2 linked regions of the Arabidopsis thaliana genome follow. The protein of the gene in region 1 purifies or fractionates together with the protein of each later gene. This does not show direct contact. Each region holds a gene or a part of one and is shown on either strand. Other genes may lie near its edges.

What was found.
Region 2: the proteins of ALB4 (region 1) and PTAC4 purify together in Arabidopsis thaliana (affinity purification with western blotting, with the first as the bait; one study listed by BioGRID). This does not show direct contact.

Annotation. Positions count from the first base shown.
Region 1 is NC_003070.9:8,680,386-8,685,845, reverse strand, and holds ALB4 (OxaA/YidC-like membrane insertion protein), read right to left. Parts: upstream 3,652-5,460; 5' UTR 3,483-3,651; coding exon 3,156-3,482; intron 3,074-3,155; coding exon 2,963-3,073; intron 2,881-2,962; coding exon 2,806-2,880; intron 2,563-2,805; coding exon 2,502-2,562; intron 2,417-2,501; coding exon 2,343-2,416; intron 2,254-2,342; coding exon 2,149-2,253; intron 1,960-2,148; coding exon 1,852-1,959; intron 1,677-1,851; coding exon 1,573-1,676; intron 1,494-1,572; coding exon 1,263-1,493; intron 1,184-1,262; coding exon 880-1,183; 3' UTR 575-879; downstream 1-574. Other genes in the region: AT1G24510 (TCP-1/cpn60 chaperonin family protein), read left to right, coding at 1-89, 172-342; AT1G24485 (ER protein carbohydrate-binding protein), read right to left, coding at 3,952-4,246, 4,367-4,520, 4,783-4,842, 5,382-5,460. UniProt on the Arabidopsis thaliana protein: Required for the insertion of some light harvesting chlorophyll-binding proteins (LHCP) into the chloroplast thylakoid membrane. Plays a role in the accumulation of some cytochrome b6f components in the thylakoid membrane.
Region 2 is NC_003070.9:24,234,263-24,241,361, reverse strand, and holds PTAC4 (plastid transcriptionally active 4), read right to left. Parts: upstream 5,275-7,099; 5' UTR 5,034-5,274; coding exon 4,895-5,033; exon of another isoform or gene 4,740-4,894; intron 4,523-4,739; coding exon 4,413-4,522; intron 4,317-4,412; coding exon 4,206-4,316; intron 4,073-4,205; coding exon 4,008-4,072; intron 3,923-4,007; coding exon 3,841-3,922; intron 3,083-3,840; coding exon 3,008-3,082; intron 2,583-3,007; coding exon 2,512-2,582; intron 2,392-2,511; coding exon 2,309-2,391; intron 1,738-2,308; coding exon 1,673-1,737; intron 1,439-1,672; coding exon 1,364-1,438; intron 1,051-1,363; coding exon 934-1,050; 3' UTR 634-933; downstream 1-633. Other genes in the region: AT1G65250 (Protein kinase superfamily protein), read right to left, coding at 5,812-6,930. UniProt on the Arabidopsis thaliana protein: Required for plastid vesicle formation and thylakoid membrane biogenesis, but not for functional assembly of thylakoid protein complexes.

The sequences.
Region 1 (5,460 bases):
CTTTGGACTCTGTCCCTATGGCTCTTGCAGAGAACAGTGGATTACAGCCCATTGAGACACTCTCTGCGGTTAAATCTCAGCAAATTAAGGTTAGTAAACGACGAACTTTATTATCTATATCATTGACTTGCTTGTTCGGTGACTGAACAAACATTGGGTTTTGATGAACAGGAGAATATTCCCTTCTATGGAATAGATTGCAATGACGTGGGAACAAACGATATGAGGGAGCAAAATGTGTTTGAAACATTGATCGGGAAACAGCAACAAATTTTGCTAGCTACGCAAGTCGTTAAGATGATTCTAAAGATCGACGATGTCATCTCCAATTCTGAATACTGATTTGTTGCTACCTTTGTCCTAACCTTTGGCTTCTTCGGTGTTTTTTGTTTGCTTTCTATTAGCTTTTGATACCCTTCGACATCGTTATCCTTGACTTGTTCCCTTTGTTTTGCAACCTTCTATTTAAGAACATCGTCAGATCTTAATTTTTGTGTGTACTTGTCCACAGATCGAAGCACTCGTTTGCATTTTCTTTTCGATTTAGTAACTGATGCAGGTCTCATACTGTAGACTAAACTATTATCGTATTAGTGTAACACCAGTGAACGAGGACAAAAGTAATTGTTTGCTTGTACATAAGAACATAAGAAATATGAAACCAAGCTTCGAAGGCTTCAAATACCCATCTGCTATGGTCTTTGTACACAAAATCTAAACCCTGAAGACTAATGTTTCCCACTCTTAAGATCTATAAACTTCGAAATCTGTTGCAGAGGGACTACAAGGCCTGAGTACCAAGATTTCTCCTCGTCTTATTCAAATCTCAATTCCTCTTTGTTTGTTTGGCTTCGCCTTAAGACATGAAAACATGAGTCTTTACCTCTTCTCTGTTTCATGAGAATGCTGTTGTTCTGTATCATGGCCAATGCCGAATGTCCCATTCGTAGTCTCGTCCTTTTGAATGGATGGCTTCCCATTCACAGCTACTGTGCCATCGGATGTTTCATCCACAGCAGAAAGTTCTGTTTTTTTATCATCTTCAGCGACAATGGCTGTATCAGATTTTTCATCTTGTTCATGTGCTTTGTCTGTATTTTGATTAGATAGAGCTGCTTCAGCTTTCTGCCTCTCTTCTTTTTCTCGACGTCTCTTTGCTTCTTGCTCTTTCAGCAGCCTAAACCTGGGATCACATGGACGTGTTAGTACAAAAAAACAGCTTCTAGGAACGAATGATGACACATTTTAGAAGATTTGGTTACCTTTCACCAGGTTTGGGGCATTCTGGGGTCACCTTTTCACCACCCTTCTCTCTTGGTATTTTCAGTTCTGAAACAGACTTCTGAACTAGTGGTTCTGAAAAAGACTTCTCAATTTGTTGTGTTTTATCTTCCTTAGTGACCAAATTAGTGAATTTCTCCACTGGATTCTTAGCACCACCATATTTTTGAAGCCATACTTGCTGTGCCGTGCTCAAAATGTTGTTGGTCAGCCTGCAAAAACACTTTAAAACTGAGAAGAATAGCGAGTGGAAGCTGACCACTCACGAAAACCACAGAAAATTAGACTCACCAATAAAGACTTAAACCAGAAGGAACTGATAATGCAAAATAGCCAATCATCAGTGGAAGAAGCTTAGTCACTGCTTGTGAGCTCTTCATGGCTGGATCATTACTCTGACAAAAAATGATAAGAAACATAAATTTCTCTGTTGCATAGAAGGATTTCGTTGTTGATTGAATTATACTTTAATGGAATGAGCTTTCAGCACAGGCACCAATGTGGTACACATTTTCAACATAGACGTAACTACTAATAGACTATTATCACATATTCCACATGATGCTATACCTGCGAGGACTGCATAATTTGAATGGAGAGGTATTGAGAGAAGACGAGCAATAGAGGTAAGACAAGATATGCTAATGTGTCTGGCCATCCGAGAGGTGGGTGTCCCTCCTGAGAAATAAAATGGAAATTTGTAGACATCAGCGATGAGGTCCGACACCACTCCCCTCAAGTTTTCTTCAATAATTCATTTTAATCAGTTTTATATGCTTGAACAATTAAACTGAATAAGAGTTCGTAAGAACTATGAGTCTAGTCTAGATTCCATTTTCGAAATATCAAGTTTCAAATGATACTTACAATGAAAGGGAACAGCCATGAGATTCCACTGCCATTCTGTCTTGCAGCAACAGTCGTTGGACCAGCAAGAGAAGGTATCCAGAAAAAACCTTCCGTTAAGAGCCCCTAAAGTTAGAAACAAGCATCCAACTACTTGTCAAAAAAGAATCTCAAGGCACTTACAGATACAAAAGGATATAGTTATTTCCAGGTACCTCATCTGCAACATTTGAGAGGGCTCTATATAGCCCAATCCAGACAGGTATCGTGGCTAGTGTGGGGAGGCAGCCTAACAGATAAATGAAAATATAGCTTAACCATAAATGTTGTCTCAAATGGAAAAACATACGATAAGCTGAAGTAACATACTGTACCTGCAAGGGGATTTATTCCAGCAAGCTTATACAATCTAGCAGTTTCAAGCTGAATTTTCTCCTGCAAAGATAAACAAAAATAAAGAAGCTATTTGTTTAAACAAGAGGGCTATATTCATACATAGTAAAGCTATAATATTTGTTATATTCATTAGTATCCCTCCACAATTGTGGAACCAATAGCAACACACATGTTCTTACTTTTTCCTTAACTCCATCAACTAAGAATTGATGCAAACATAACTTAGTATAGCATCAGGACAAATAAAACCCATGTGTACAGTATAGAAGAATTGTTTTTCACCTGATCACCAGCATACCGTTCCTGAATAGCCTTTATTTGAGGCGTCAAAGATTTCATAGCCATGGCAGATTCAACCTGTAGAGAATAAACCACCAATTCAATAACATGGACTAAAAATGATATCATGGCTTAGCAGCAATAGAAACAAACTAAAAACCTGTTTTTTCGTCAATGGGAACGTAGCAGCCTTAACAAGCACAGTCAATAGAATGATAGCGAAACCATAGGAATAAGGAACATGTACAGTTGATAACCCATCTTTCAAAACCTGCAATCCAATTCAAAATCAATCATATAGCTACACAAAAATTCATTTCTTTCTAAACCAAAAAAGACAAAACTTTTAATACCTTGAGAATAGTTTCCATGTAATTAGCAATACCAGAGAACCAATCATTGCTCTGGGTCGTTTTGGTAGTAGTGCCGGCGACAGATTCAAAGGTTTCAGAGGACGAAACGGCGGCATCAGCGATCGTGTACAGCAGATTCTCGGCATGGTCCTTGATGAAATCAAAAGAATCTGGTCTGAACCCGAGTTGAGCTACGAGAGTCCGATAACGAGACGACGACGACGACGGTGTGTGGCTGAAACGGGAGCGGCGGAATTGGAGGACTTTGCCTGTGGAGAAAGAGGAGAGGATAAGGTGCGTCGGCTTTAGGGATATTGTTGAAGACATCTCTAGGGAGAAGAAGGAAGGAGAGTTTTAGGGTTTTGGTTGAGAAGACAAAATGGGGAAGATTTGGATTTTGTTGGCAGTATTGTTGTGTTGTTGTGTTCTTGCTTTGCGTCTCAGTGTGCGAGACCGACCGAACTGAGAAGTGGAGCAAACCAAATTTTGTTTTTCTGATTTTTTAAAACTAACAACACAAACTATATATCTCACCTTTTTTATTGACTTTTTCTAGGGTAAATATAACAACATAAACTATGGCTCCGAATGGTGACTGTGTTTTGCGATGCGGGAAAAGTGCAGTGCGGTTCAAATAATAACAAAAATACATAAATACATATATATATGTAAAAATTTTGATATTGTTACAACACTGTTACGATACGGTTTTGGATACGGTTTTAGTCACCATTCACAACCTATAAATCACTCGTTAACAACTATAACCAATTAAATTCTACAACGAAAAGTAACACTAATATCTATACCCGAACTTTGGTGGAGAAAACCATAGAGATAAACATTTCATGATTGTTAGTGATTTTTGTTTAAGTATAAAAATATGTGAAACATACGATGAAAAGACTGAAATAGTATAAATTACATCTAACAACCAATAAATCAGGAGAAAAAAAGAATAACATATATTGGAGGGTGATGAGTGATGATGGATCCGCATGTAGTAGATGTAAGTCGTCGTCATTGCCCAGCATTCACTACTGTTGCGTTTCCCATATTCACTTGTAAACTTATATTCTGTTTGAGTGGCACTGCAACCATAAATAAATATTTATATACATTAGTTAATTCAAATAAAAATTATAGTAGAAATTCAAATTAATAAGATTTATTGCAATAAGTTTATAAAAATAAAAATAAAAGGAGAATACGAACATTCTGATTCCGGGTGGCGCCTAGGTTTGATGAAATATTTCCAGACGCCCCAACCACCAGCTCCAAGACTTAACAAAGTCGGTAATGAAATTCCAAGAGGTAAAGCTAAGTTGCTGCTGCTTTTCTCCTCTCCTGATTTACCTGAAGAATCTTCATACACAAACACAAACGTACCACATATTAGACTCGAACCAACGATCTCATATCATTTGATAACAATAATAACATGATTATTAACATCCAAAGCTTCATAAATGTTTTTTTTTTATATATAAATGATATTGTTATACGACAAAAACTTTGAAAATAATCTCTAGAAATTGTCCCAAACTATATTAAGTGACTATTCTTCTAAAAGTCCTAATATGGAAAAAAACATCTTAATTAAAAAAAATATTGAGAACTGATATGCCTGCAGATTTTTCATCTTCACTAGCTTTGTTGGTTCCTCCATCTCCATTATTGCTTCCTCCTAAAATATCGTTCAAACGAAGAAAAGTGACTTATAATTTTAGTTTTCAGTTTAAGTCAATTTTCTTACGGAGCTAGTAATTTGGAGAGCATGTTTTTGACCAATCTATCTAGAAAAATGACGGCTCAAAGTCGGACTAAACCGCCTCCTAGTCGGCTATGTTTTACAATGAAAGTTTTTGGTTAAACACTTCCCATTCTTCTAACCTTTAAGCCTAGTTATGATCTTGCATGTTGATAAAAGGCAGTTGATCGTCAATAACTAGAAGCTAAATCTTGCATCCTAATTAATATACCCACACGAGTTCCTCCCTTTCAATTCAGTATCCATATATTTTAAAGAACCACTAGAGTAGAGTTACTTATATATATAGATTTATATATTAATATATAGATTGATATCTTTTCTACAAAACAAACCGTTTTCTTATTATTGTCAGAATTAGTAGCCTCTTCTATTCATTATTTATCTCAAACCAAAATTATTAAAATTAACCGTATTTTACAACATATATATAAGATAATGAAAAGAATAATTACCGGATTTGCCTCCACCACCGCCCTTGCTTGGGCTGCCACCACCACCGCCTGTGCTAGGGGGGCTGCCACTACCACCGCC
Region 2 (7,099 bases), about 16 Mb from region 1:
ATGTAGTGGAGATATGCGTGTAAGGGTGTTGGCAGCTCTCATGGTTGGTGTAACTCCATCTGATGACGTATTGAACCACCATATTCCTGAGAATTTATCACTATCTTTCCAAGACCCGTCCAAAAAAGGGTGATATCCTAAATAAGAATCATTTTGTGAAATATCTCTCACTCGAGTTCGAGTTTCCGAATTTAAAAAACAACTAGTTTCCAAACTAAACTCAATATGGCCTACTTGCCACAATTGTGCCTCTTTTTCGTTAAGAGTAATATCTCTAAGGGATCTTTATCCACATTATCCTGAGACACCCAGTTCATATGATTTGAAAGCATGCTTTTGGTAACATTACTGTTAGCGGAAAAAGAGGATTGCTCCACATCATATAAACAGATATATATTTGCTTGAAAGTTGAAACAGGACTAGCAGTATCAAGGAGTTCTTGCAGAATTGTGTTTGTGGCTAAACCAACTTTTGGTAACATTTCAAACCCTCATTATTAAGCTCTTTAAGTATCCAATGAGGAGGGTACAGTTGATTAGACATAGACATACCTTGTAGTTTCTGAAGACGATTGGCTAGGAATCTAGGAAAATATGGCAACATGTTTTACTGGAAAGACAAGTCAACATGGAAGACGAGCATTTCTATCTTAAATCGACGAATCTCTTTCTTTTATGCCTTAGAGGCTGATAGAGGGTTATGCGAGTAAAACAGCTTATAAAAAAACGTGTCCACTTGACACAAAGTGAGTCAAAATGGAAACCACACTTTCAAAAGTGTCTGAATGTACATAACCCAACTATAAATGGGGATTAGATAGCTGGATATTTACTTTAAGAGTACACATGCTTTTTGTGTCTTTCTACAAGACACAAGATAGTTTACAGCAGGAACGTAATGTAACCCAGTCACAATTCGGAAACAGCCGATATCTAAAAGTCGTTAGCTTTCCTTCGCAGTTCGTTTAACTCATTCTCGATCTCTGAGTCTTTGAAAGGGTATCTCGTGCTTGCTGCAACAGTGCTTCTCCCTGGAGGAAGCTCTCCTTTCTGCTCCATATCATATAAACAGAGGATAACTATAAGATGTATGTTTCACAGACTCTTAACTCAGTGAAGTAAAATGTTAGTAGCAAAGTAGGCTATCGTCAAACATGAAACAAGACAGTAAGGTAAACATAGAAGTAATTTGAGTAGTTTGAATTGTTGATTTTAGTGAACCATCCCAAATTGCTGAACCCATTAGTCTCTTCGGACGGTAATTTGCAATATGGACATATGGTAGCTTGTGGATACAATATTTTCGCGAATGATGAGATTATAAACTCTACGGAACTAACAAGATGATTGACGTTTTACAAACCTTTGAGCTTCCAGACAATTCTTTCTTCAAGTCTGCAAGATCATCATCCACAGATGAAGTTTCAAGCATTTGAAACTGCAAGTCACAAAGAAATACACGTTAATGTCAAGATGGTTGCAGATATACAAGTTCTTCTCCTACCAACAAACAAACAGTAAACCAGATTAGACCATCCTATCAGTCGTAGAAGATATTAGATAAAGCAGCGAACCCTAATCAATGCAAGATTTTACCTCTGAAACAAATTTAAAAGAGAAAGAAAGATTCTTCTCCTCATAGAAATACCAAGACAAGAGATAGACAACCAACCTTCCCCTCGAGTTCATCGGTTCCAATCTGAGTTAGTGCATCTGCTTCAGACTCCATAGCCATAACTGTCAAGCACTTTCTAGATTTTAGTCTCTATCAGACTGAGCATTCATCAACAAGCAGAATGTGAAGTCTTTCACAACGAAAAATTACACGTTCGGAATTCTGATACTAGCAACTCAGAGATTTACAGAAAGAATAAGAGGGTATATCTGCACGGACTAACATTGATCAACCAGAACCTAAACGAATTGCTAGAAATAGCAATAAGAAAAAAGGTTATCCAGTGGCATTTCTCTCTTGTATCTAAACAAGCAAGGATTCCGCTAAGTTTATCCTTTACTCCGATGTCCCATTGCACACATTATATTACTGTTCTATTGTTTTGCATGAGGTAACTACAACACTAATTCCACATCCACGTTGCCCAGAATCTGAGCACTATTTCTAATGTAACCCTGTCGCCTAGGTGGCAAGTAGTACAAGCTAACATAGAGAAAGTAGTGGAATCTAAACTCACTTTCAAAGACTGAATGCTAATCCTAACTACAGGCCAAACTTCAAATTTAGAAAGGAATAATAGGACTAACTGGTATTGGTTGCGTATAGACAAGTTGGAGGATCAAGAGATCATACCTTTCTCCTCCATTTTCTCAAAAGCTGAAAGAGCACCGCTTGTATTTACTGTCCCTATCATCTCTTGCACTTTGGTTGCAGTCCTAGCAGGAATTAAAAAAAACAAATAGAGTTGGGACAATATATAAATCGACAAGAAACACTCTGTATGGACGAGCTTCCATAAATGATATAAAGAAGAGTATTAGGGAAATGATACAAACTTAGCAGTGCGAGCACGTGCAAGGAGCGTATCTTTCTTTGCTTTTGCCTCTTGTATCTTACTCTCCAAGAGCTGCAAATAAAAGGGGAAACAACAAAAAAATTACAGAACTCATTTTCTAAGAACCAAACTTCGCCCTAAGCAATTTCAGAAAATATAAGAATCATATGCTATGGAAATGGAAGAACTCTGAAAATACAGATACTAATCTAAAATATCTTCTACATTATGTCCATAGAGATACAATAGCTCCTTAGTACAAAACGTGAAGAGAGATACTTGGCATATGAATCTTATGACGGAGGTATTTAACTATGGTACTATCTCTAAACCATTCAAATTGTATGGTGGCATGACGAAAATTAATGTATACATGATTCTTTGTTTTATTGAGTAAATGCATGACGATAAATTCATTTAATCATAGCTCTAAAGATTCCAACAGTGTATAGTAAATCAAAATACAAAATATATAGATAAATATGGTGAAAACTAACCCTTGTATTTGAAACAAGATTGTCGACAACACCTTTTTGCTGATCTAGTTGAGTTTTCAAAGCAGTAGCGTTGTCCTGTTAAGAAAAAAGGTAATAACTTCAAAACCTAAAGTTCTAGTTTTTTTTTAAGGTAACTTTATAAAGTTAGAGAATGGATGTATTCAAGAGACTTCAGTAGTCGATAAGGTATCAGCAGGTAAAAGATAGTGAAAATTTACCTGCCTATTATTCGTTAGCCATTTGCAAAGGTTACACAAATACATAAATCAACAAAACTGAAAAAGAGCCATACGGTCTGTTGCTCAAACAAAAGCACATCAAAGATGATAGCCAAGATACTGATATGTAAAAAACACTGAAGAATCGTGTTTGGCTGTTTCCGAAATTCTACATAGAACCAAAATTTGATTTTGATTTTTTTTTCTGATACTGAAAGACAATAGTCAACATCCTAATATGTAGAAACACAGAAGGGTCGTTTTTGGCTGCATCTGTAGTGTTATATATATCCAAAATATCTTTTGTCACTGCAATCACCTTAACAAACTCAACAAACAATATATTTCAAAAGAGTACTATAAACACTGCCAAGCTCTATTGCATCAAAAAATGATTGGAAAAGGGGGCAAGTCCTGAGGAGAATTACAGAATACTTAGATATCTAAATTTTTCCATTTTACTTTCACCACCACCTAACTAAACCTTGCAGAAAACCAAGAGATCAGCCTCAAATCGCTCGATGCGCTAAACGATTAGGGTCTTTCATTTGTTGGAGTAAGCAAACTTAAGAAACAGAAAACTGGTGGACAAAAGAATGGATAGATATAACCTACAGCAAAAGACTTTCGTCGTTTAAGGGCCTCACGTGCAAGATCCTCATCTCCTTTTGCAAGAGCAAGTTGTGCTCTTTTGTACCTATTTAAACGTGTAACATGTAAGAATAATCAGCTCAGAGAAGAATTTAGGTATGGAAGCAAGGTCCACGCAAAAGCACACATACCAATCATCAGAAGACTGCTGTGCAGCTTTATATTTGTTCTGTAACTGCTTTTGTGATGCTAAAACCTTCAGACACGTTGATAATACACAAGTTAGCTAATCTCATAAATAGGGGCCAACCATGCTGTAGTAAAAAAATGAAGAAGAAAAATATCGTACAGGAAAATGTATAAAGTTTGTTCAAGAGTAAGAAGTGCACCTGTGCAGTGGCTTGACGCATCTTTGTCAAATCACTATTCATTTCAATGACAGTTTGCTCCAGGATTTTCTCCGGGTCTTCAAAAGAGCTTATGAGCGCATTTGCATATGACTTCGCTTATTAAAATGAAAAATAAACAAGAGAACTGATTAATGAACTCCAATGCATAATGACAGTCAAATACAGAATGAGAAAGGGTATAAGTACCTTGACCACTCTAGAAAATCGTTCAAAAAGATTCATAGTAGCACCATGACCATTGCACCTGAGTCTATTATCACAAGCTAATCTCAACACATTCACTCTCAGCGCTCCACCTTGTAAAAATAAACAATAATCTTTATTGAGTCTAACAATAAGTTCATGGAAACATCAAACCAACAACATAACTAAAAAGCAAGAGAACTAAATGTTAGACATGTGAAACAGTCAAAGCATACTGAAGTTATAGACACTGACTAAGAGTAACCTCATTTATACTAAATCAAGAAACACAAAATCGACAAATCATACACTAAAAAGCACAATCAATACCCAATTTTACTTCAATTCTCTCTCTGACTAATCACGTTACCCAATTTGAGCAAATAGCTGCACTATTTTCCTCCAAGCAATCCAAACAAGGCGCAAGCTAGTGAAATGAAGATAAAGCCAAACCCTAAAGCGAAGTAGAGAAGAAGGAGACGCACTTGAGTTACCGAAGAAAGATGTTCTGAGAGGGAGAATCCTGAGGGAACAAGGGCGATTAGAAGAAGTCGAAGGGGAAGAAGAAGCAGTAGGACGGAGAGGAGGGAATAATCCGGTAACAGGTGAAGCTTTGAGAGCCATTTCAATGGCGATTTCGACTCTTCTCCTTCTCTCGTCTTCTTTTGGCTTATTGGAGGATGTTTGTGGTCTCGGAGGCTACTCGGATGTTGTTCCCATTTTTCTTTCTCTATCCTACGTCGTTTTGGTCGATGAATAACATTGATTTTTTCATAAAACATATTTTATTGGAATTGAAAACGGAAATTACTCAAAGCTGAAGATCAGAACTCTTGAAAAGACAAAGCTGACAATGAAGATCATAATTCACTGATATTCTTTGATTCTTAATATGCAAGATACAGCTCCAAGAGAAGTTTACCGTCATGAATGTTTCACTTTAGTATAGATGTGAATGTCCAAATCCACCAAACAATCATGGAGTTCACAGTTCAATATTGATTGCATTGTTCATATGTAGTTGCTGGAATTTGCAAACTTACGTCAATGAACCATGTTTCCCAACTCACAATGTAAACTTTAGAATTGTTATTGACTTGGGAGACTTTCCCTTATAATACACGAGTAGATATCTCTTGAATTAACAAACACAGACGCATCCATCAAAATCCAAACACACATACACAGACTCTAAGGGACAATATAATGAATCAAAAGTAACGTAGCACTATTTATAAATACAACAACAAAAATGAAACTTGATAATGTTTTAATACAAACAAGAATCGAAGTTATTTTCAGCACATTGTTCGATTTTTTTCCTGAAAAAACGAAACCAGCTCAACATAACCCATTGAAACATTTCATGAAATACCTGGCAGGCAATACTTGGTAGCAGTGTCTAATTTGAGAGGACCACTGTGGAAGAAATGTCTTGGGCAGAGTCGAGTTGGGTTTGACCTGAAGAAAGAGAAGAAGAGTCGTTAAAAAGAGATCTTTGAATCTTGTTTAGTTCTTTGGCCACTTCCACCATCGTTGGAACTTCTTCACTAGGGCCGGTGCATCTCAGTGATAGCTTCAAGAAAGCTTTCATTTGACAACGCTCTTGTTCTGAAATTTGACCCATCTTTTCTATCATCTTTGAATCTGCAATCTCTTCCATTGGTCTGTCTTCCTTTAATGTTGAGAGCAAATTCCGAGCATGTCTTTTCATCAGACTGTCAAATCCATCTTCACTTTCTTCTTCTTCTCCTCGATAATGCTCGAAATAGTATTCGTATCCTAATAGAAGCCTATGACCCATAAAGATTCCAAAGGCAAAGACATCTGTTTTATCTGAGACTAGGCCACTCCTAACGTAATTATCAGCAAAGTAACTATATAATCCCACGTCTCTGTCAACCCGGACAAATGTTTCTCCTTCTGGGATTGAGACGCAGTGAGAGAAATCAGTCAGCTTGGCGACACCATCTTCATCCAATAAGATATTCCAATGAGACAAAATCCTATATACAAAGGGCCTAGGGAAGGCGGTGTGAAGGTAAGCTAAAGCAGTAGCGATATCTTCTGCTATCTTCATTCTCTTTTTCCATGGCTGTTCACTTATTTCTAATTTGTAATGTTTCTTAACACTATGATACACCATGACTGGATAATCTAACTCAAGACAACATCCAACCAACTTCATGAAGTTTTTGTGACCACTCACCATCGATGAAACTGCTATGTCGCGGCACAAACGATCTACTCTCAAGCCACTCCACCAGCCAACATCTTTCTTGATTAGTATCATGGGATGATTCTCGTTCTTACCAGAATACCATTTGAAGGGAACTTCTAATCGTAAAACAAAATTAGAGTCGCTGAAATCGTTGGTGGCTTTGAGGATCTCATCAGCAGAGAAGAATTTGATGGGATTGGATTTGCCATCGCAACATTCGATGAGCTCTTCTAACAACTTGGCCCCTCTCTCGGACGCTATATCGGATTTTGGCTTCTTCTTCTTCCTCAGCCAACCCATCTCAAAATCTAAGAATTAAGGGAAAGAAAGCTTTATTTGAAATCAAAATGAGCAAAGGATTCGAGACCTCACACAATGAGTTGCAAACGAGTACAATGTACTCAATTCTTGTTGAATTTTCAACATTACGTTCTTCAACGAAAATCAGAAAATAGGAATTTATTAGAGT